2 linked regions of the Struthio camelus genome follow. The protein of the gene in region 1 binds, or shares a complex with, the protein of each later gene. Links are inferred from orthologs where the notes say so. Each region holds a gene or a part of one and is shown in the gene's direction. Other genes may lie near its edges. The genes, in order: CKB and ASB9.

Region 1 (12,111 bases):
TTACTTGTTGAAGACACAGCAATTGCTAACATGTGCAAATGAAAGAGAACTACTCAATATGTAGGCTAGGAAAATTACAGGACAATGGGAGAAAGAAAGAAAAAAAAGCCTTGCAAAATTGAAAGTTAAGGCTGACTTTCATTGAGGTGTTGATGTAAGTTCTTAATAAAGGACTTCAATATATTAATTTTTACCTGATTCACATACTATGGAGCCTGGTTTCAGTTCTAACATCATGGTGATTATAGAGATGTCAGTGGAATACAGAATTTGTGTCCTGTGTGGAAGATTCATGGTCCACAATTCTGGGGTTGGATGAAGAATAAACACCCATCCTCCTTTACTGCAGGTCACTTTGGAGCCATACTTCTTGCCTATGAGATCTGTGGAATGCCTAATGACCCCGTACTTAGTCTGAGTTACAGTGCCATGTTGGACTTTAACAGGAAACATGGATTCATGGCCCAAGAACACAATAGCTGTGTCACCATCTTTTATCGTATCTCCATATTCAACAAAACTCATTGTGGCTGGTGGTTGTCACCTAAAAGAGAAAAAACATATCAGAGAGTTTTACAAGATTGTGACGAAGTGGAAATTAGAAATAAAAATAAGGCATTTTACTTTCTCCAGATAAAAAAAACTATATAAATAAGAGGGTAGCAAGAGAACTCTCTGAAGTTCAGGAGTCCCCCACTCCCAAACTCTTGATCCCATTAAAATCCATAGAAAAAAATCCCATTGACTTGAATAGAACAAGTATTTGTCCTCTTGTATGGCATACTTTTAAGTAAATTTAGCAAATAAATTATAATTTATTCAGCCTGTTCCACAATGCTCCTGGGAAAGTTGCAAAGAGCTATCCATTTCAGCAGTCTGTTAAATTCCAGTTGACAAGCTCTCAGAGCGTTTTGCTAAGCAGTGCCTTTTATTTCCTTCTGCTGCCTTATCCCTTGATGATTTACAATGTAAGTCAAGTGTCTGAGACAGGATAAAGGCAGTATCTGCATTAGTTCATGTATAAATTTGACTGAGTACAAGGAATAAATGGTACTCAGGCCTTCCATTTGCGATTGGGGGCGCAAAGTAATTGTCTGGGAAGTGAGCTGTGCTGCAACTGGATGGAGACAACTATTTGCAAGCTAACGCAAACACAGCTGTACTGCTTTAGGCCCGTGTTATTGAAGCTGCTTAGAGAACTACAATTAAATTTTGTTGTTTTTGAGAAGAAAACCTGGAAATTGGAAGGCTGCTTATGATACAATCTGCCATTGCCTTTCAGATGTGGCAGCCAGCAATCTAAGCTGCTGCTTGATCAATTCATGGAAGGAATTGTCTAACAAGGCAACGGTAATCCCAAAGTCAGAAGTTAGTCTATGACAGAAAGCTCTGGAAGTTTGAATTCTGGGTACTTCTTCAGTAAGAGAATTAAAAGCAGCATTATTTTTAGTTTCAGAACAATGGTTTGATGCCAGTGCTATTTTACTGCATGCGTAATAGCTCTGTCATACTTCATTATTTTCATTAAGAACTTTAATTTTAGTTCTAAATTTCTAGTCCGTTTTTGTTGATCACAACTCGTTGTAGTTTAATTTGCTCCTAAGCAGCTAGATTGATTTTTAGTTTTTCTGCTGAAATCATTGAGACTGAGAAACAAATGCATTTATGGCCAACATTTCCAAAGCTTTTAACATGCAATCATAGGTATTCACACAGCAAAAGAGAATAGCCCTGTCTGGCTTTACGGTGAAACTGTAAGAAGGGCATACTGTTAATTCAGAAATGTAAACACATTGCACTTTGTATGTGAGATAGTACAGTTAGGTTTAACCCCCTGCTATAGCTTGCACCATCTGATTATATTGATGATCTTGATCTCTCATAAATTACACTTCCAGTTCTCATTCTAGACACCATAAATGAAACACGCAGTTTTCAGTTCGCATTTACAATAATACCATTGAAAGCAGCTTGACTGCCGTCCCTTTCTTTTACAGTATTTCGACCGCAGTTATGCCAATAGGCAAGAGCAACGTCCCCACATGTCTGCAGGGACAAGGAAAGAATTACTCTCCCTTTGACCACATAAACTGGCTCCTGGTTTCTTTGCCTTCTTTTGAGCCGCCACATTTATGACAGCTCATCTCCCAGCAATGTATGCTGACATCCCAAGCGACAGCCCTCTCGGGCGCTCACCTAGCCTGTTATATTCGTACATTGGGGGGTAAATTTGGGCTCTGTCAGGGCACTCTTGCAGGAACCATTATCGCTCGGGCAGTTGCTCTGCCTCCCCCCATGGCGGACACCTACAGCCCCTAATCATTTGCCGGAAGGTGCTGGGGGGCAGCGGGAGGGCAGGGGAAGGGAGGCTGCGGCCGGGGGCCGGGAAGCCCCTATGAGCCTTCACGCTTCCTGGGACTGCACTGGCCTAGGCCCAGGTGATCCTTCGCAATCTTACAAATTAGGCCGCTAAAATGAGTCTACGTTCCCCTAAGTAACAGCAGTAATAATAAAAGCGGGGGTTGCTGCCCTCTCCCGGGGCCGAGGGCTGTCTCCTCCCCTCCGCTCGCCAGCTGAAGCCCCTCTCCCGGCGGCAGGGCAGCAGCTCAGCCCCCACCTCCTGGGCGCCCTTCGGCCAACGCGGGGACCAAGGGCCGCTCCGCGGCCGCGCCCACAGCCCGTTGATTTAAACTCTCTGTTTGCTGAGGGGGAATTAGAAGCACAAATAAAGCGGGAAGGGGGGGGGGCGCCCGATAAGCAGCGTTAACCCGTGACAGGCCCGGGCGGCGGCCGCCGCCGCGCACGCAGCGGGACGCGCCGCGACCCGGTCTCGGCCCCCGCCTCGCCTCAGGGCCTCGCCCGGGGAGCCGAGGGTCGGCGCGCCCCCAGCAGCCGCCAGCTCTCCCCCCATGCCCGGAGCCGTTACCTTCCCGGGGCTGAGCCCCCGGCCCGGCCCGGCCCGGCTCCGCTCTCCTCACACGCGCTGCCCGCCCAGCACCGCCTTCCGCCCCGGTCGCAGGCTGCTGACGCTCCCGCCTCCCCGCCGCCTCCGCCCCCGCCAGCCCTGCCCGTCCCCACAGCGCGACACCGGGGCAAACCGACTGCCCCCCTCCCGCCCCCGCCGTGAGGGCAGCGAGGCCCCCTCCCTGCTGTGTCTCCGGGCCGGAGGGACGGGCGCCTGCCGCCCTCCGCAGCCCTCGCCGAGCCGCCGGCGTGGCGGCGGCCGGGGATCGGGCTCTCGGCCCGCTCTGGGGGCTGCTGTTTGCCGCGTCCCTGAGGGAAACTTCAGCGGTCCCTCGCCCGCCGCGGAGCCTTTGGGGGTCTGGACGGCGGGAGGCGGCCGGGCTGCGCCTAAAGCTGGGCGAGCAGCCTGGCCCGGGTGGCCCCCTCCCGCTCCCCGCCTGCTTCTGGCTCCTGCCGGGAGACAGCCCCCCCCCCCCCCTGCAACCCGACGGTGGCGAGGAGAAGGTAGCGGGGGCTGGTGTTTGCCAGCCACCAAAGGAGCCCGCGGGGAACCTTCCAGAAGCCCCTTCCCCAGTAAGTGGCTTGGCCACCGCCCTGGGTGGAGCGGGACTTCCCCCGGCCCCGCCGGCTGGCGCTTCCAGAAAGTTCTGCGCGCGCTGCCTGAGGGCAGCCCGCTCCCGGGAAAGGCGCTCGAGGCCAACCAGCCTCTTCGCGCCAGCCTTTTTTTAAGGCTACGGAAAAATCCAGCAACAGAATGTGGGCTCAGAAGGAGCAGAATCGTTCTCTCAACCCCGAATAGCATGGTATTAACTCCTACATACGTCTCATGTTGCGGATTCAGATGATGTGGCGAGCTGTAGGTGCCCCGGTGGTATGGGGGACGTTGGCGGGAGGCGAGGAGGAGCAAAGGAGGGGAGTATCGCTCCATCTGCTGCCTCCGGCAAGCCCAGGCCACCTGGCATGGGAGGGGCGCCAGCAAAACAGAGAGAGCGGGTGAATCACCTCGGATGTGCAGGTGACGTCCTCATCGCGATCAGATAATGCTCCGTACCCTCCTGAATTCGCTAACCATTTATAATGCACAATACCGAGGGGGGAAAAAAAAGTCGTTCTTTCAGATGTCAAAACCGCAGTAATTGTATACTTACCCCAAAGCTGTCTAGAGGGCAATTTGTGAGTTTTGCATGGATGTGATTCCATTTGGAGATAAGGGAAGTTTGGCCCATTTGTTACCCCCAGGGAGAGCAGGAACCTGCATATTTTTTGTTACGCTATTGACCAACTATACCTGCCCATATCATAATTGCAGTAGTCTTTGTTATTTAGTTATGAAACTCTCCTTCATCTTTCTAATCTAAACATAATGTATGCAGCTTCAGAGGTTTCTTAAACGGCAAACTCCTACTCAGCTGTTTTTCTGACTGGCAAGCATGGCTCCACTGTGCCTTTAGATTTGCACCTACCATGTTTTTTTTTCTGTGTCGTTTCTTGTGTCATTGGTCGTGTTTGTCATCGCTTATATTCTTGTGTCCTTTCTCTCCCAGGATGAACTGCTGTTCAAATTACTGAGGACCTAACTGCATACAAGATCAAGACTCTCAGCAGCTCTTAATTTCCAAAGGTACTCAGCTCTGTGGAAATTATCGGTGCTTTTTCAACAGACTGCCCAACCAGTGTGAAAAAACGCAAGGACAATAATTAGGCAGATAGACTTGAGTGAGCCATTTAAATGGGCAAAGAAGTTCCATTTGGGAAGCTGAGCATCAGATGCAGCTATAACCAACTCCTTTCATCTGTTGATGTAGAACTGTTACGTTTCATTTTCAAGGGCTGTTTAGTGACAGTTTATAACCAATTTTTGTCATGTAGGCACTGGTAGCAATTCAGTTATATATAGTGAACCACTTTCTCTTGCCATTTCCTAATTTGGGATATTCTTCTGGATTCCCAAGAAGAGGTTTATCCTCTAGTTCTTCGAGTTCACCGTACGTTCACGTGAGTAATTTCAGAAGACGTGCACTAGCTAACGCTCATCTCCTCTTGCAGTTGTACACTGCACAACATTTATAATTAAGCCTCTTAGGAAGTTAGCTGCACGAAGCATGATTAACATCCCTTAATTCTTCATTGTTAAAGCTCACTACAGAGATCTCTGGAGTAGTCATCCCGCTTTTCCACCTTGAGCTGCAAAACTGCAACGTAGTGGATCAGTCAGTATGCACTAAGACATCATCCATCCTGGCAGAGAAGGTACAGACTGGTGCCTTTATCATAGTCTAACAGGCAATACAGGCTTATCTGAACGAAGTATTCACTCAGCAGATGAGCCAGATAAAATGGCTGATCAGAGTCTGTTGACACACAGCACAGCATCTATAATTGAGTCACTAGGGAAGCTGGGATGGGACACTGTGACAAAGGTAGGATCCAATTTACACACAGCTTTCAGCAAATCTGAAAATGCTGCCTGAGTAAAACCCAGTCAAGTAATGGCTACTTCTGCCATATTGCTTATTAGAAAATTTGTCAAATAATGGTGAGAAAAGGGGGACAGAGGGTGCAAAGTGTATTAAGCATGTAAATTGGATATGTTTTGATTGCGTTCTTGCCATGACCCTCTCTTTTCATGTGCCTTTCTTTTCCAGACAGCAGTTTTGCGAGGAAAACGTGTGTGCGTGTGCGTCGGAAGTGCCATAATGAATGGCACATTTAGAACACCACTAGCTTATAATAACTATAGTGACTGGTATTCCTTGCTCTGGGACTGGGAGGGAAAGAGCATATCCCATAAATAGAAATGGATCCCTGGAAATTTGATTCCTGAGGTGAGCTTGACTCCATGAATCTACAGAACAGTTATTGTAAAGAACAGTCGATTGCCTCTCTGTGTGTGGTGGGAGATTTTGGAAGAAGACAGAAGGAGCCTTCAGTACCTTCTCTGGTAAGCAAAGCATGTTGTTTGTGAAGAAATAAGTGTACTTGTAATATAGGAGTACATTCTTAATATTTTTATATTGTTCTAAGTTAAGAATAACAACTGTGACAAGTGGGTCTGATTTTGCACTTACATTCATTTCATATTTGCTCAGCAATGGCGTTATTTGCAACTTATGCTCTATTGAAGTATGAGCACTGTGTGAATACACATGACTGCTAAAAGGTTGGGGAAGATTTTGTGAGGTTAAAAAGCCAGAGGAGACACTGAGAGGATTTGTTCTTTGATCCGGGAGATAAGAAACCAGACTTGCACAGATGCAGAGCCCTTGACTTCTGGAGATTTGTATATTCAGCATCGCTGTATATCAGACCTGGAATAACTTGGAAATTTGGATGGCAGCCAAACACAGTGCATTTTTATTTGAAGCAGTCTATGTTTTTATTTTATAACGATTTCCTATATTTTTTTTTTTACCCTAAACAGTTCTGTAAACTGCTTACACTTGTCATCTGAATAAGGGTACTGGTTGTGGTGCTGAAAGAATTGTGGTGGGGAAAGAATTTCTATTGGTGTCTCCTAACATTCGCAACTCATGTCGAACAAAACAACTCTGTGACTTAGATCTGCATGCATATGGATAAATGTACTGCCCAGCTGGACAGGAGGATAAACATGGATTCTGCTGTGAGAGATACGCTTAAGAGAAAGATAAAGAAGAGCTATCGAGGTAGAAGTAAGATCAAGATAGTCATTCTTTTTTTTAATCTATTTATTTACTTATTCTTGCAAACCGTGCAATTCTCAGCTTCTCTAACTTTGGAGCAAATCCTTCTCATCGCTACAAATACACCAACAGAAGCTAACAGTGCTATTTTCATGAATTTAAGGTGAATTTTAGATGGACCAAATCCCAGCCTTTCTGCTTCTGTCTTCAATAGGAAATCAGCCACCCTCCAATACACCCCCCCCCTTTTTTTGGCACGTGACAGAGTAGGAGGCTTGCCGTGCCGTGTGTTTATTTACACAATAAACATACTTTCTTTCAAATTAAACTGTAAGATGAACCCACCGCTTCTGAGGTGGTGGAGGCTAAGCACAGAATTAAGTGGTAGATCCTTCAAATTAGACTGTAAGGTGAACCCACTACTTTCAGGTGCTGGAGGCTAAGCAGCAGGCTTACAGCCATTATCAGCAGCCTTTATCAAGTTAACAGGTCGTGCTGGTCCTGACACTACAAAGTGTCTTATTTTTAAGACAGCAGATTATCGCACCCGTTATTGAATCCTTGATCAAGGCAGAGCCCCTGAACGGCAACAAGCCTCGCACGCCGCCGCGTTGGCTAAAGGCACCGCGATTCGTGGAAAACACTTGGTTAGGGCAACGCAGCGATGAGTTTTCCTGTACGTCAGCGCGGGGAGCGAAGGAAGGCGCTGGGGCAGCCCTCGCCTCTTGGCAGCGGCGCGCGGGCCCCGCCGGCCCCCGGCGCCCACCCCCCGCCACGCGCCCACCCGCCCAACGCCTCCTGCCTCCACCAGGCCAAGCAAGATGGCGGCAACGCGGGGCCTGGCCAGCAACGGGGCGTTCGCTCCGCCCACCTCGCGGCTCGCCCAATGGAATGAATGGGCTATAAATAGCAGCCAATGGGGCGGCGGGTCCCGCTCTATATAAAAGAGGCGCGGCAGTAGCGCTGGGGCTCCACTCCGGCTAGGGCAGCGGTGGGGTGCGGGAGCGCAGGTCCTTCCTTTGGCTGCGGAGCCCTCGGTAAGTCCCGGGGTGAGCCGCGCCGTCCTGCAGCTATTTCATTTCTTATTTTTTTTAATATATAATTTTTTTTTTTATCGCGTCGCTGGGGTTGGAGCCGGTCCGGCCGCCAAGGCGTCGCGGAGGGGGAGGGAGCGCCGGCAACCGCCGGGGCTGCGGGCGAGGCGCGGGGGGCAGCGCGGCGCGGCGCGCCGGGCACGTAACCGGCGAAGAGGGAGAGAGACCTCAGGCTCCGCAGCGGCGCGGCCGCAGCCTCTCGCGGGGGCTGCCCCGGCGCCGCCGCTTCCCGCTCTACAACCGGCTTCACCCGGTATTTAGCAGGGTAGTTACATAGGCTCACCCCAGCCCGCCCCCCCCCCCCTTCCCCCACGGGGCGTCCGTTGCGTACGGGCTTGGCTAACGCTCCCCCAAGACCCGCTCCGCCGAGCGGAGAGGGCGGCGGGGCACCGCGCCGCTCACCTGCCGCGGGGCGGGGCGGGCGCTGCCCGGCGCCGCCGCCGCCGCGGAGGGGCCGCGCGACCTTGGGCGCGTCCCTTCGGCCGGGCTGCGCCCGCTGCGCGCCCGGCGGTGCCCCGAGGGGAGGGGGAAGGGGCCCTGCCTTCGCGCCTGGGCCGTGTTAGGGAGACGGGACAAGGCTTGTGAAGGTGACAATCTTTTTTTTTTTTTTTTTTTTTTAAAATCTCCTTCCTCCTGTGGAAGGTGTTGTAGCAGCAAGGTGCGTAAAAGGCACCGGTGGAACAAAAGCCAAGGTGACCTTGCCTCTGCCCGTGGCTCTCCTCCCAGGGCGGTTCTGGAGGACTGTCTCGCAGCTGGGGTGATAGGCTTCCCCTCTCTTTCCCCTAGTGTCTGCGGTAGGGTCAGACATGCCGTTCTCAAACAGCCACAACCTGCTGAAGATGAAGAACTCTGCTGAGGATGAGTACCCAGACCTGAGTGCTCACAACAATCACATGGCCAAGGTGCTGACCCTGGACCTGTACAAGAAGTTGAGGGATAAACAGACTTCCAGTGGATTTACGCTGGATGATGTCATCCAAACTGGGGTTGACAACCCAGGTAACGGCCAGAACCGTTAGAGCTGCATTAATGATCTGTTCTCCCTCGTTACTGGAAGTGCTTCTTGACAACAGCGCCCAAGGCTCTTGAGCTGCTGAGAGGCAAATCTCATAAAGCAGTGAGAGACAGCTCTAAACGCATGGCTGTGTTAAAAGAGGCCTTGTTCTGTCAGGCCATGTTCCTTGCTATGATCTGGCATATCAACTCTCAGACACTTCAATTATGTAACTGCTCTGCTAAATACTTCCAATTTGGGGAGAAAAAAAAAACACAAACTGAGTGTGCTCTAATTATAACGCAACTAGAGCGGGGGGAAGGAAAAAGCCCTGACATTATGTGGGCTTACCTAGCTGTTCTGATCTCTTCCTGTTCCAGACCGGTTATGTGATGCTCTGTAGCACTTCTTTGAAAACAGGGGGAGCAGATGTGTTTACATGTTAACATTACAGTATTTATTTTTGCTCTAGCAATATCAAAATGGCCCAACTAAATAATCAGAGACTGCCTCCTGATGAGGAGTACCCGGACCTGAGCAGCCACAACAACCACATGGCCAAAGTTCTAACCCTGGATTTATACAAGAAACTGAGAGACAGAGTCACACCCAGTGGCTTCACCCTGGATGATGTCATTCAGACTGGGGTTGATAATCCTGGTAAAATGCATTGAGAACGTTCTGTGTGAACCAGCTGAAATAACTGGTGCTTTTGAATATGGCAACTTAAACTAAGTTTGTGAAGGTGGCGTTTGAGTAGACCATAGAAATGCTGCTCTGTCTATGGCAGTATGAACCAAAAAACATCAAACAAACATGCTTGCTTACAGCAGAGCAGCATAATTGTTTGGGCATAAAGTTCTACCCAGTGGTCTAAATTAGTAAAATTGGAAGTGCTGGGCAAAATTGTCTGAAACCAAACTTGACAAATGAGCATGGCTTAATGGCAAAAGCTATGGGTTTCCATAGCACTGATTTGACTAAATGGATTAAATGTAAAATATAGGGTCTCTCCACCTGGTTCTTTAATGTAAGAATGCATTTCTAAATGACTAGTCCTACCACTAAAGAACTTGCCTGGTTAGTGCTGCTCTGGAGTACAGCAAGACATCACCCGAACTTAGCTCTTCTGACTTTATTACCGCTCCAGGCCATCCCTTCATAATGACAGTAGGATGCGTAGCTGGTGATGAAGAATCCTATGATGTGTTTAAGGAACTCTTTGATCCGGTTATTGAAGACAGGCATGGTGGCTACAAACCAACTGATGAGCACAAGACTGACTTGAATGCTGATAATCTGCAGGTATACATTTTTAATCGGTTATTGATGCCTAGTGGTCTGAGGCCTGGACACAGATGTTGGCAGTTGTGTAAAATGATTGCTCACGTTTTGCCCTTCCAGTTTCACCCTGCACAGGCTAACAAGCAATTTGTCCATTGTAATCCACAATTTAAGAGCCTGCCCGTGTGGCTGGGTAGAGCCATGCAGCTGGCGGATGAAAGGAGCTTGCTTCATGTGCTCCTGTAGTGTAGCCCTGCCAAATGTTGAATTCATGTTTTCATCAGCCATGAGCTGCTGTGGTCAAGCTTTAACAGCACTGTCCTAGGACTTGAGGGCTGTCATAAGTCTTAATACTTTTTACCATCTGATCTTGGATCTTTGAAAACAAGCGAAAAACGGAAGCTATCCTAGCGATGTCATACTATAGAATAGCCTTTGTTATGGCCAGGAGTAAGGTTTTTTACGTGCTCTTACAGATTTCAAATTTTACTGCAGACCCTAGCCAACGATGATGGTATTAGAAACTCCTAACTGTGGGTCATCTTAAACTAAAACACTCTGAATGGCAGTTGTGAATAATTCTCGCTTGCAAGAGTAAACACCTACCCAAATAACAAAGGTTTGCCTTATGTGACACCTGGATTCCAGATCTGAAGAGGGAACAAAACCCCAGATGCAGGTCTGAAGCAGACCTACAACTGTTTGTCGTCTGGTAATCCTGAGGTCTAGTACATGTTTAGTAGCCCTAGTCTGAGACCCAAAACAAGGGTTACGTTGGACAAGTATTTGAGCTCATGCTGCAGAGAGTGGTCTTGAACTAAGACATCAGCTTACAGGCCAGGTAGTCAATATCTGAAGTTTAGGGGCCGTGCTGAAATGCGTGGGAGCTACTTATATTTAGGGTAGGTATTTTGATAACAAAGTTGTACTCACTGTTTTCCTAATCTTGTAGGGTGGTGATGATCTGGATCCTAATTACGTGCTAAGTTCCCGTGTAAGAACTGGTAGGAGCATCCGTGGATTCTGTCTTCCCCCTCACTGTAGTCGAGGGGAGAGGCGGGCTATTGAAAAACTCTCTGTTGAAGGTAAGGTGAGAACTGGGTGTGCTGGGAAAGCTCCTTATATCCTTTGGGCAAGAGATGTTCTTGGTGGTTTGAGAATGGAGGCAATAAGCAAAAGTCTTCAAGACTCCTAATCTGAACCTGGAGCCTTCTCTGCAAAGGGCAGTTTGAACTGTAACTGCATCAGCATTGCCGTTTGTAGCTGAGGAAAAAGAGGACATGGCAGAGGGAAGCTGGACTATGTTAAGCTGACCTTCACCGATCCAGAAAGTTTTTTGGTTTTTTTCCTGTGTGTGTGGGGAAAGGAGTTGGTTCATCATGGCTCAAACCTGAAATGTAATAGGTATGTAGCAATGTCAGGGCTTGAGTCATGGCTACAGTTTTTTGTGGCTGCTTTTAATTGACTTTCATTAACATTCAGCTTGCTCAGAGGTATAGCCTCACTCTGCTGATTGTGCAGTTGACTGGAATAAGCTCTAGTTCTCAGTGGAACTCCTCAACTGCAGTTTTTCCTTGTTTCCTTTAAGTGAGAAGAGAGGATATACCCAAGGTCCTGTCTGGGAGACTGGCAGCGTGGCCCTTCCAAAACCGCTTTAGGGCAGGGTATCGGTCCTTGTCTAGAATAATGCAGTTTGTTATATTCATGACCCTAATTCTCCTTGGAAGCACTGCAGCTCTACAGTTAAGCAGCAGTAATGATCCTAAACTGTACATAAGGGAACAAAGGCTACTTGTACAAGCCTGGAAGGTAGAGACAAATCATCTGATACTGCTTTAAGTTCTGTAATGCTACAGGGGCATTGTCATTACAGATGAAAGCAAGGGAGGAACCCAAACCAGCAGATCAGACATTGCCGTACTTTGCATGTGATCTCTAAAGCGCTGAGACTGTCTAGCATCTTTGGCCCTGTCCTAAAAGTGATGCTCTCTTTCAGCTCTGGGTAGTCTGGAAGGTGATCTCAAGGGGAAGTACTATGCTTTGAGGAACATGACTGATGCAGAGCAGCAGCAGCTGATTGACGATCACTTCTTATTTGACAAGCCAGTTTCTC
Region 2 (11,534 bases), on another chromosome or scaffold:
TGGATGGGACCTGCCATCATGAACGCTACTTAGCAGGGCAGATTCAGGTGACCTCTGTGGTGCTGAATTTGCCTGTAATATATTTGGGTTTTCTTGTCTATGGTTGTCTGCTAACCTGATCAGTGGGAGTCGTAGAAAACTCTTATAACTTTTTTTTTAGGGATTTTTTTTTTTTTTTTGGACAGAACTAATACCCTACTGGGAATTACTGTGCTTTCTTCAGAAATGAATACTTCTCACTGGAAAGTTTGCGAACTAAAAAGATTTAATGGGAAGCCAAAGAATTCCTACTATTTTCAAATTAATAATGAGAAGTTAGAAAGCAGGAGGAGAGGGAAATTAAAATGTTCCTCAATGCTGGGATTTGGGTTTCACTTGGAAATTTGATATTAGGCAATATCACCTTGCAGCTGGCCAAATACTAGAAGATTTCAGTGTGGTAAAATACCACCTCAGCTCTCAAGTATGAGACTAAGGTTTTTGCTGTAATTACACCTAACATCTGCCTATTGGGATGTACTCATCACATGAATTATTTCATCATATTACTAATCTGGCAGTATTGACAAACTGTGATTGCAACCCATGGGACAAGCTGAAAAATCCTGAGAAGCCCTTCGAATCATGATGTTTGAAAAACTTCCAGGGTTTGGATTCTTTTTTCATGGATTATGGTATATAAATTTTTAAGACAGTTCAGAAAGCAATGTGAAGATGTATTTTCCAGTATACCAGGAAACCTGTGCAGGTGAGTACACTGGCACCCATTTGACACCTGACAGTGAAAAAGAGAGTGTTACTGCTCTTATCTCAGTGGGGAAGATGCCTCTAATCCCTCTTTTGCCACAAATTAAATACAAGAAGCCTGTGTGTGAACTTGTAGAAGTTTTCATTTTAAGTTTGTCTTGCTACCTAGGAAATCTTGGTGCTTCTGTACATCTGCAATGAGTTAAAACCACAGACCTAGGTACTACTGACACTAAGGGGTGTTTTTTACTTCTGTCAGGGTTAATTGGCTTTGATTTAGATGGCAATTTGGGAGACTCTCTTGTTAAGCACATTACCTTTCCTGAAAATTGCCAGCGTGCATAAGAGAACAATTAACTGCAGAAGTCTGTTTGGTCCCTCAACCAGGATGATGGGACGTTTTGAAGGGAAGTTTCTGTAAGGGTAACAGAAAGGAAAATAAAAACATTATGTGCTCAGAATAACTGTAAGAAAAGGAAAGCCTCTGGAAGCTTAATTTGAGGAAAAGAAATTAGGGATATGAGAACTGGAGAAGATTAAGAATTTCTTCAAGGGAAAAACCTCTTCACTCTGTGTCTGCTCACATGTTTTATAGCAGCCTTCCAAACAAAACTCAAGTATTTCCAGAAACGGCGCTGGTGATTTAGTACTCCTGAGGGCAAGCTCTAACAGATTTATTTGCCATGATTTAAAACATGATTGTCCCAGATGTTTGTCTTGCTCATCTGCTGGAAATTACTGCCTTGAAGGGGAGGCAGCAGAATGTGACACATAATCGTGTCTCAGGGCTCAAGTTTATAGGTTGGAGTATTAGTGGAAAAAAAAAAAAAATTACGAGTTTTTGAGCTAATATAATGGACTGCGCACTAAGGCGGTGGAGGCATCTATGTGCAGCCCATGCTTCCATCCCTTGCAAGGATGTGGTTAACGTCTGCTGAAAGTGGGGAATGGGGCAGGCAGCTGTGGGTAGCAACAGCTTAGACCATTGCAGCTACATCTGCCAGAGGTCTCCATCAAAAGCCTCTCCTCTGAGAGGTACTTACTCCAAAGAAATGGTCTTACAGTTCAAGGATGGGCCAACATTGGACTTAGGCCGGAGGACATAGAGGACAGAGGTCCATTCATGTTGCACATTGCCACACATACTCCTGATGCTTGCTCAGGATTCTGCAATAGCCCCTAGCTCTAGGCAAATCCTAGGCTGGGGGGCTGCATTTTGCTTATTTAAATGATTCTTTTCTGTGAAGAAGTGAAGACCTTCCATCGTAAACTGTTGCATTCAGAGGCTATGCAGTGCAGAGTGCACAACACAGTGTTGGCATGTGTGCTCAGGGCTGGGTCACTTGAATTAATTTTAGCCATACTATTAAAGTGCGTTTCGTTTGATTAAACATGCACACCCGTATCTCAGTTTGTCATCTGAGGGACAAGTTTGTCATAAAGGAATCTGTTTAAATCAGTGAAGTGCCTTTGTAGGCTCTTAAAGGCCCAATTCATATCCTCCTAAAGCAGACATCTAAATAGGTCAGATGAATCACCACCTTCAAATGCCTATTTCTCTTCATTAACTCTAAAGGAAACCTAGAGTTCCTGTTTCAGACTCTAAAGTTGAATTAAATGAACCTCATGTTTTGTGTCCAGTTTTCCAAATATTTTCTGTAATTCTGTGATTTGTATCCTATTGTGCTTGTCTAAACTTGCAAATAGTAATAAAATCTCTTCTGTGATTAATAACTGACATACACAGTTTAAAAACTGACCAGCATGTGAGAGAAGCCATCAAGGTAGTAGAGCATTTCATTGAATTATTTTTAAAAAATGCCTTTGAAGGAAAAAAATGTGGCTAGCTTATAAAATCTTTAGTAAACAGAGAAAGTAATATTGAGTATCATATACTCAGCTTTACTGTACACTTTTATCCACACAGGATGGTTGCATCTGAGTAAAGTGATTTCTGTAGCTAGATCTGTTTTTGTAAAACACAGAAATGTAGGTGCTATTTAAATGGAAAATACCGTTGTAACGACTGGTGTATCTGTATTGTGTAAGCTCTGTTTCTAATCTGTATTTGAAGTTTTGTGTGCTGCTTATCTTCAGATCCAGGTTGATGTTAAAGCATGTTCCTTTGTTGTTTGAGAATATTTTGTTTTCATCCAAAAAAAATTTGCAATCAGTCTAATTAAATGAATCAGAGCTTTCTCGCATTTTCTCAGTGCCTAGCCAGGCTCTATAAACGCTATCATAATATCCTAACCTGGGGGTGTTTTATCTAGGGAGTTATATTTATCCCGATGTTGCCATTTGGAGGAAAATGATGCTGAAAGAGGCAAATGGTCCCAGCTGATTTTGTTTGCCGGTATATTTGCCAACCAGGTCAAAGCCAATGCACTGCTTCTGTATGTATGTCCAAACTACTAGCTGAAGCAAGATGCCAAGAGACATTGTAAACTTGCCAAGTCCTTGACATAAGTTTTCTAGCTACTTGCTGCTCTAATCTGGCTGCATATCAGCATAAGGGTAACTATAACATAATTCGGAGGAGTATGACGCTTGGTCAGTGGAGAGGATGGCTACGGTCTCAGTTCTGGACGTGTCTCATCCATCCAAATGAGATGAAGGAGAGCATGGTCTCACATTGAGGTATTTCAGGGCTTGAGCTTTCCCTCTGAAGCACCCTAGAGCTCAGACTTGATCCAAGTGTGAGCACCTGCTAGCCTGTGAGCAGGGTAGCTGCATCTGATTGCAAAACGAGCCATGACTCACACTTAATTGCCACTGTAGGCATAATCAATATGGCTTTAATCCTGGGAGATAATAATGTGGTTCCTACAATGGTGGCCTTAGGAATCTCATATCCTGATTTCTTAGCCACCCATAATACAGTAGTGGGGAAAACCACAGCAAAGAGAAAGGAATGCAATTTTGCAGTCGCAGAGAAAAACTGTTTCTCTGTTTTTCACTCTGTTCTCTGAGTTGCTAATTCTACCTTGTTACTCATTGTGCCTCTACTACAAAACTTGGTTGGCAACATTTAGAACTAGATTCCTTGCAGCTGTAAATAGTACCAACCTTGTTAATGTACATGACAGAAAATTGCTGCAAGGTGAGATCTGACCAAACAGAAAAGGATTTGTTGAGGAGAAGGTGTGTGTGTGCTGGAGGGGGCCATGGTCAGATATCACATAGAGTGAATGCTAATGGTGGAGAGTCCCAGGAATCTGCTTTTTCACAAGCAACAAGAAAAATATGTATGGACCTATGTTTTGAAAATAAAGTCTCATTCATCATAAGTTATGACCACAAAACTTCACTTCTAGAAAGGATAAAGCCTAGGAACTGCCACTGTAACATCCAATTGAAAAGAGAGAGCATCAGCCTATTGTTCCTTCACCTCACAATCGGCTTGTAAATACAAGTACACCATCTTTTACCTTAGTAAGTGCAGAGAAAGCTTTTGTTCTGGGTGTCTCCTAAGATAATCACTTCTAATAAGCCCCTTAATAAGTACTTTTCCATCTCTCTCACCATATCTAGTGGTGGAAGAGACTTCTTGGTTTTAAATGAAAAAGGTGAAAGATGTATTTGGTTATATACATTTACGCACACACACAAACATATATGTATTTCCATATGTATATACATACGATGTGAAATTAATCCCTGACTTAGGCAAAGCCCCGTGCATCACCTCAGTCCTGATGGACAAAGGATCATGTGCTGGAGAGCATCTTAACTTCCCCTGCACTGGCCTAACCCTGCAAAAACTGTAACGTAAGGTAGTGATGTAGGGCTCAGGGGAGATCAAACTATATGATTCTAGTGATTGCAGCATTTCTTTCAAGTGGTAGCTTTTCCCCTGCTGTGTGTGTACAGGTAATAACCTCTTCTCATCACTGACGCATTTCTAGAATTTCCCACCTAACAGCTCAAAGTAGTCCAAAATTGGAATTGTTCTGCAAGCTTTAAGGATGCAAAGAAAGGATAAGGTGCATAGTTGAAATAAAAGGGAGTATGCTGGTTTGGGGACTTTGAGTACGAATTTGCTTAATTTTATGAACTTTTTGTAGATTTGAATTAACTGGCTGTACTATCTTCTTACCTTGTATTCCCTCTGTCACAGAGCTATAGCCAGCCAAGTGTCTAACCTTTGGTAGAATTGTTGCTAGAACTACTAACATCTGAATAAATGTTGCTCGTTCCAAAGAATGGGATGGCTACATCCCAGGTAACGGGCCCCTTTTCTCCAGTTTGGTAGCAGATAGGTATGGATAAAATATTTTCAGAATGGAACAAAAGTGGAGGCATTTCATAACAGGAACCAAAGATGTCCTGACTAAGCAAAGGCTTCAGGGCCAGCCACCAGACCGGAATCTAGTTATGCATGAATGTAGCATGATACAGAGGAGAAAGCATGATCAAAGAGTGATACTTTTGGGTGTGATCCTATAGCCCAGAAAGAAGTCCCAGTTCCTGAGGAATGGATGTGGTAACCGGGGCACACTGTCATTGTGGCTTTGCCCAGGTGCTGACCTCTCCGGTCCTGTTGGAAGTAAAGTGTGATTAAATTAGAAACTTCTTTTGTGATGTCGGTGTCTATTTTTTCCATGAAAAATAAATACACATGGACCAGGATACCAGGAGATCAGGATGAAATAGGTCTGTGGGCTATGACCCTGCCCGTTTCAGAAGGGGTAATGGAGAGAGGGAATAGCTAGAGACTTCCCAGAGCCATGGGGAGGGTTACGGGCTCATCACCCCTTTAGATGCTTTGTGCAACCTTATCCACTTCAAGAAAGACCAGATTACAGCTCATTTGTCAAGGTTAGCAGAGGTTTAGTTAACAGGAAATGACTAAACTATGTGCAACCAGTACCGTACTACTCAAATGATTACCCTATCAGCCAGCAGGTCCCTTGGTCAAAGGACCAAATGGCCAAAGTCACCCTTTTCTTGGATGGCTAGCGACTAAGGGACTTTTGTCTTGTAGGCGCTGTCTTTGTAAGGCTGAACTCAAAGGTCTTAGCTAATACTTCTTCATTTATGAGCCATATAATCACATATGTGGACACATATGCTGATCCTTTTAGTGGTGGAATAGCTGATGTGTTTGCTAATACCGCTCTGTATATGATTAAACATAAGCTGTAGCAATCTAGCCACTAATCTCAAGTGCTATTGAAAAGAAAAAAATGTTTTTGACACACTGATGGTCAGTACCAATACTTATACACCTTCCTGAATTTACATACATGTAATTTTTCCCATAACTTTTTTAACATTGGAATTGCAATGGCTCAAACACAAACATATGTGCCAGGCAGACCAAAGTGTAAGCTTGCATCAAGCATGTGTGGTCACACTCAGAAGCCAAGGGAACTGGCAGGCCTTGTCCTCACCCCTACTTCATTGGCAGTTGTGCACCAGGATGTGTCTGGGCTGCCTTCACAAGGCAGCATTTGTGAGTGATGTTGAGCTGCTGTTTATATCTATTAAAATAATGGATTTTTTTTTAAGATGTGGAAAAAAAAAATCTAAAAATGATTCCAGATCTCTTGTATGCATTATAAACAGGAATAAAAATGAATCCCAGTTGCTTAGGACTGGGAAGAGATACAAATTCATCCCCGGGGGACAAATTTAAGAAAACCCTACTTTTTATTTACATAGGTGAGATTTTACATGCAAGTCTTCCCTGCTTGTACTTGTACCCAAATGAGCAAATATTCAGGCAGAGCAAACAGATTTTGTGCTTGTGAATTATACTCATTGGGGAACAAAAAAAGAGCAAATAGAGATGATCTGTGAGGATAGGATTTATGTAAGCATTCAGAGAAATGAGGTGGAGGTCTGTTAATATTTATTTGCTGGTAGCTTCATGGTTTTTATTTTAGACTGAGAAATTGCTTAAGAATAAAAAGACAGTGCTCAGATATGAAGCTCTTGGTGTGACTATGACGCAGTGAAACTGATTGAAAAGGGTGGAAGGAAATCAGCCTGAATAATGCTGTGTTTTTCATGCTGTGGAGGCAAAAAGGACTTCCAGTGTAAAGCACAGCTCTACAAACATGTGGTTTCAATATTCTTATGGTATGTGGTGACCACTGCTCAGTAAAAGGAATTCAGCACTCCATTTCTTGCATACCGTCATGGGCTCTTCAGATAACACGAGTGGTTTTGCATACTCTGCAGTACTTAGAGAGGCACAAGGCAAAGTTGCTTGCAAACAACTCACATGAGTGGTGCAGATGAGTGCACACTGGTATCTCTCTGGGTTTTCTTTACAAATCCCCTGCAGGCAGAGTTTGCTCAACTAGTTGAACTGGCTCTTTCTGTCTTGTTTTTTTGGCAAACTAAGAATTTCCTTCCTGATAAAAACAGACAGCAGGCGTACTGATTGGGTGCAGTGTTGGAAAGGATATGACATCAGGCACGTCCCTTGCTTTGTACAGTGTGGTCTGCCTGATTGCTGGCTGCCTCCCAACTGAGTGAGGGAGGTGTTTCATTAAATCCTAACCCAGGTACTCGAGTTTCTGCATAAAGTGCTGCCGGCACCAAGTTCCAGTCTGCTGCAAGGTTTGTTTGACTTGCGCACACAGAGCCTGCTTAATAGATTACTCCCATAGGCAGGGGTTCATCGGGGAGGATGGAATTTGAACTCTCAAGAGCAACTGTGAAGTGAAAAAACAGAATTTGGACAGCCTAGGCTGAGATGGATGATGAGGGAACAAATCAAAACACCAGCAAATTGCCAGGAGCCGGAGGCCAGCCATCTGCAACTTCTCTAGCAAACCCACTGATGAGGGGTAAGTAACGCTCCTGCCTCTCCGCTAATCTTCTAGTCTGCCAGCAGAGGTGGAAGAGCGGTGGGTGGAGAGGGCAAAGTCAGGCTATAGCTGCGTGTTCCTCCTGATAGCCTGTTAACAGTGCAGGTCCATGTACAGTACCACACGTCCCCATGTTCTTGTACTTCAGATAGGCTTCTTATATGCTATTCATATTTGTAACTGAATTTGTTTGTTTGTTTTTGTGCGTGACAGAAAAGAATATCTGATTCTATAGTGCAGCTTGTATAAGCGGAAATAAATGCAGTATGTAAACCACAACAAACTGAAAAAGAAGTTGCAATGTGGCATGTTTGGCTTAGATTAGTGCCAGCTGAAAGCTCAGCATTGGCTCAGTTCCTCTTTTCTCTTCTCCATTCCCTTTCCTTCCTTTCTCTTCTCTTCTTTTCCTTTCCCTTCTCTTCTTTTCCTTTCCCTTCTCTTCCTTTCTCTTCCTTTCCCTTCCCTTCCCTTCCCTTCCCTTCCCTTCCCTTCCCTTCCCTTCCCTTCCCTTCCCTTCCCTTCCCTTCCCTTCCCTTCCCTTCCCTTCCCTGCCCTTCCCTGCCCTGCCCTGCCCTGCCCTTCCCTGCCCTGCCCTTCCTTTCCCTTTCCTTCCCCTCTCTTTTTACTTCCTTTTCCTTTTCCTTTTCCTTTTCCTTTTCCTTTTCCTTTTCCTTTTCCTTTTCCTTTTCCTTTCTTTTCCTTTTCCTTTAGGTAGACATAAATATTCTTGCAAAGGCTGAGTCAGCACTAGTGGGTACTTCCACAATGGACAGGCCATTATTCATTTGTGGTCACTGGTGAATAGTTATTTAGACAAATGACCTCACACTGATCATTGCTCTTTTGTCTGGCCTGGAGCCTGTGAAAATATGACATGGTAACAAAGGATAAGTAATTAAATTTCACATAACAATTTAGCTAGATGTGTTCCCTGTAGCTCTCTTTTCTGAGAAGCTACTCCTTCAGTTCATGGTCAGTGCAGTAGAACAAGGAGGTAAATTAAGATAATATGACTTTACACTATTCTAACTCCTTTCCTGGGCTATTCATGACTCTTCCATTCATACCGAAAAGAAAAATAGGACCATAAAAGTAAGAAGAGGCAACCTACATTGCAAAGATGTTCAGTATGTCTGCTGTGCTGTCTGCTCTCCTCATGTGGGTGTATGTATGTATATGCGGGTGTGTGAGGCTAGGGTAGGAGGGAAAGGAGAGTGTCGTTGTTATTAACAACGTGAACCAAACCAGGTCTGCACTGGAAAGGAGCTTTGGCAAAATGGTGTCAGGCTTCGTGCAGCTGGATGAGAAGTAGGGGAGTCCTCCTGCACACTGAGGAGTTGGTCGTTTGAAAATAAGAGTTCAGCTCATACCTCTTGGATTTGCCTGGTCCTAAGCAGAGCCAATAAGCTTCTCTGGTGGCTTGCAATAGGAATGTATTTGGCTCTGGCTATATATATCACAAACTTCCTGTGAAAGCCTTTCAATATGAAAAATACCATTCAGAGTACTGTTAAATACAATGCCATAAGCATATGTGTTATGCAAATATGTGTACAAGAGTGTACTCCAGCTGAAAGGATTTCAAAGCCCCTTGGGAGTAGTACCATGTGGGACCACTGCTGAAGAAAATCAGTCAGGGAACAGGCACCCAGTGTGCAGCACCATCCAGGGGCTGGATCAGAGGCTGGAAAAAGATATTTTAAACCATCACCACAGAAATGAATGCTCTTCTAGAAAGGCACTGGGAACGCGCTGTCATCTACAGGGAGCAGTCAGGACTTGCATGTTTGTGTGGTTAACAATATAAGGCTCCCTCTGTATACACTGTTGGCATTCAAATGCCCAAGTGATGGCAGTGCAATCAAATATGATCCAAAGTTTAATATAACCCCTGGGCTGGCTGGGATTTTCAGCGGTGAAAAGGGAGTTAGATATCCCAATGCCACTGAATTTGGGCTTTTGGATTTTGGACTTCTAGATGCCGAGGACCCTGATGCCTAACTTAGCATGCCTGTGGACTAAGGTGCTGGCTAAATTTCAGTATTGGATAAACTGGCTTGTTCCTGTGTGAGAGAGCACTTGTACAAATTTTTGGCAAACAGAAATTCTTGTGGCTGTGGTGGTACATACATTGAACACCACCGTCCCACATATGTACACCAGCCTTGCTCCTTTGCAGGCAGCCCTCATGGGCAGAATATTCTGAGGACTTTTATGAAAATCACTATTTCATAGTATTAAAAGTCCACGGCCAGTTAGCTTTGGCATTCGCTTAGCTTTTACTCAGAAGCTTGTAAATGGCTTAAATACTAATCATTTGTATTTCTGATGGTGTACCTACTGTGCTGCACAGAAATAGGGGTAAGATCCCAACTTCCACTTGCAGTCTCTTTCTTTCAGGTAAGAAACTCAAATTCCAGAACAGAGCAGGGATAAAATGGAAACTTTGTGATTAACCTGAGAGTGATGCCCTGGGTGCAGGAACTGGGGAAAAATGCCGCCTTCTGGAGGAGGCTGCCTCCCTGGTGTCCCTTCAGGGAGGAGGGGTTTGCTGCAGATGGAGCTGGGGCAGGAGAGATGGCAGCTGAGGCCTGTACAGTTCATGGCTGCAGAGAATTGGAACTATGTGGTAGCAATGAGGATTACAAAAGCTACTATAATTACTAAAGGCGCCTTTATAACCTGCACCCCCTGCACCTCCCCCCAGCTCATTCATCTGTTCATTTCATACACTCACTACAGCCCATGAAGCTGTATCGGGGTTTTGTCTCTTCCACCCTTTGGCCCTTCTAAATTTCAGGCTTCTCCCAAACCTCAATCACATCTGAGTTGATGAATCTTTCTGTGAATTTTCAGTTGCTCCTCAGTCCCCTATTTTGCTTCCCTTTGACTTTCATAGTCATAGGAGTGCAAGACTGGAAAAGACAACCTGCCTCATAGAGTTCACTCTCATTAGCTATTTCTATACTGCTAAATGAAAGAGACCGGAACTATTCCTGTTATTGACACCAAATGGTGTAGATTGACTTACCCTCACATCCTCGCTTGCTTAAGGCTTGTCCCCTTGAAAGCAAGCTGGCCACATCCACACTGTGGGCCTCACTTGATTACCCTGAGACATCCTTTTTATTTTATATATATATTTCCTTTTCAAAGTCTGTGAAATAATGAGGGCCATGTTACAGCTCAGCAAAGTGATATTTTCATAGCATAAAACTGAGGGGATGCATTACATGACTTTGTGGCAGGAAGGATGTTTGCGTGTACAAAGCCTGTTAGGACAGCATTGTGGAGGGAGGCTTGTGTAAGGTGAAGGGGCCCAACCTGGTGCAGCTTCGTCCATGAGCCCCTTTGGGAGTCTTCTTTGATAAGAAGTATTTCCCTGAGCTGTTCCCTGTATTATTTTGGAGTCAGCTGGAGCAAGTCAGGATAAGATGGGAAGCAAGCTCACAGTTAAGCATGTGGATGAGAAGCAGCTCAGTGCTAATTATCTTCCTGGCCCTCTTTATTTGGTAGCACAGATTTGCCTGCTAAGTCTGAATAGTCTCTCACAGTCACATACAGCAGTGGAATAGACGGCTGATTTCAAAGTGTCCACAAAACATCTAATCTGCAGGTCGCAGTCAACTGGTCACCAAACATTTTGTCAGTTCCCTGACAACAAACTTATGACCTACAGAAAAAAACTGGAGTCCACAGCTATGCTGAATGCATGCGAAGAGCAGGAAAAGGTGCTATAAGAGGAATTGATTAAATAAGACCTTGGGGTGAGGGCAGGAAAGCGACTGTGCCCATGCTCAGAGGAGTATGGGCACAACCCCTATGTCTGATGGTCCTCCTTGGTCTGCTCTTGGAGGTATGTTTCCTTCAGCTTTCAGAGCTGGTAGTCATTTTAACTGTACCCATGAGCAGGAAATACTGACCAGGGAAAAGGACCTCAGCCACTGGGTCTGCATCCTGTCT

Evidence for each region.
Region 2: the proteins of CKB (region 1) and ASB9 are in contact, whole or in part, in a cryo-EM structure (PDB 6V9H), measured with the Homo sapiens proteins. The link is inferred for Struthio camelus from reciprocal best matches to the Homo sapiens genes CKB and ASB9. Residues at the interface, in NP_001814.2 of Homo sapiens: Asn63, Pro64, Gly65, His66, Pro67, Tyr68, Ile69, Thr71, Arg130, Arg132, His191, Val198, Ser199, Pro200, Leu201, Leu202, Leu226, Trp228, Glu232, Ile238, Met240, Asn286, Arg292, Gly303, Lys304, His305, Glu306, Lys319, Arg320, Gly321; in NP_001026909.1 of Homo sapiens: Leu25, Asn27, Pro28, Leu29, Met30, Gly31, Asp32, Ala33, Val34, Ser35, Asp36, Trp37, Pro39, Glu42, Ile45, His46, Trp60, Ala67, Asp68, His69, Glu75, Ala100, Asp101, Trp102, Val111, Asp133, Leu134, Ser165, His166.

The regions. Positions count from the first base shown.
Region 1 is NC_090946.1:72,363,298-72,375,408, reverse strand, and holds the start of CKB (creatine kinase B-type), read left to right. Parts: upstream 1-7,564; 5' UTR 7,565-7,663; intron 7,664-8,506; 5' UTR 8,507-8,526; coding exon 8,527-8,719; intron 8,720-9,186; exon of another isoform or gene 9,187-9,196; coding exon of another isoform or gene 9,197-9,374; intron 9,375-9,864; coding exon 9,865-10,019; intron 10,020-10,950; coding exon 10,951-11,083; intron 11,084-11,994; coding exon 11,995-12,111. Other genes in the region: tRNA (adenine(58)-N(1))-methyltransferase catalytic subunit TRMT61A, read right to left, coding at 195-525. UniProt on the Homo sapiens protein: Reversibly catalyzes the transfer of phosphate between ATP and various phosphogens (e.g. creatine phosphate).
Region 2 is NC_090942.1:139,578,480-139,590,013, forward strand, and holds the start of ASB9 (ankyrin repeat and SOCS box protein 9), read left to right. Parts: upstream 1-7,134; 5' UTR 7,135-7,456; coding exon 7,457-7,550; intron 7,551-11,534. UniProt on the Homo sapiens protein: Substrate-recognition component of a cullin-5-RING E3 ubiquitin-protein ligase complex (ECS complex, also named CRL5 complex), which mediates the ubiquitination and subsequent proteasomal degradation of target proteins.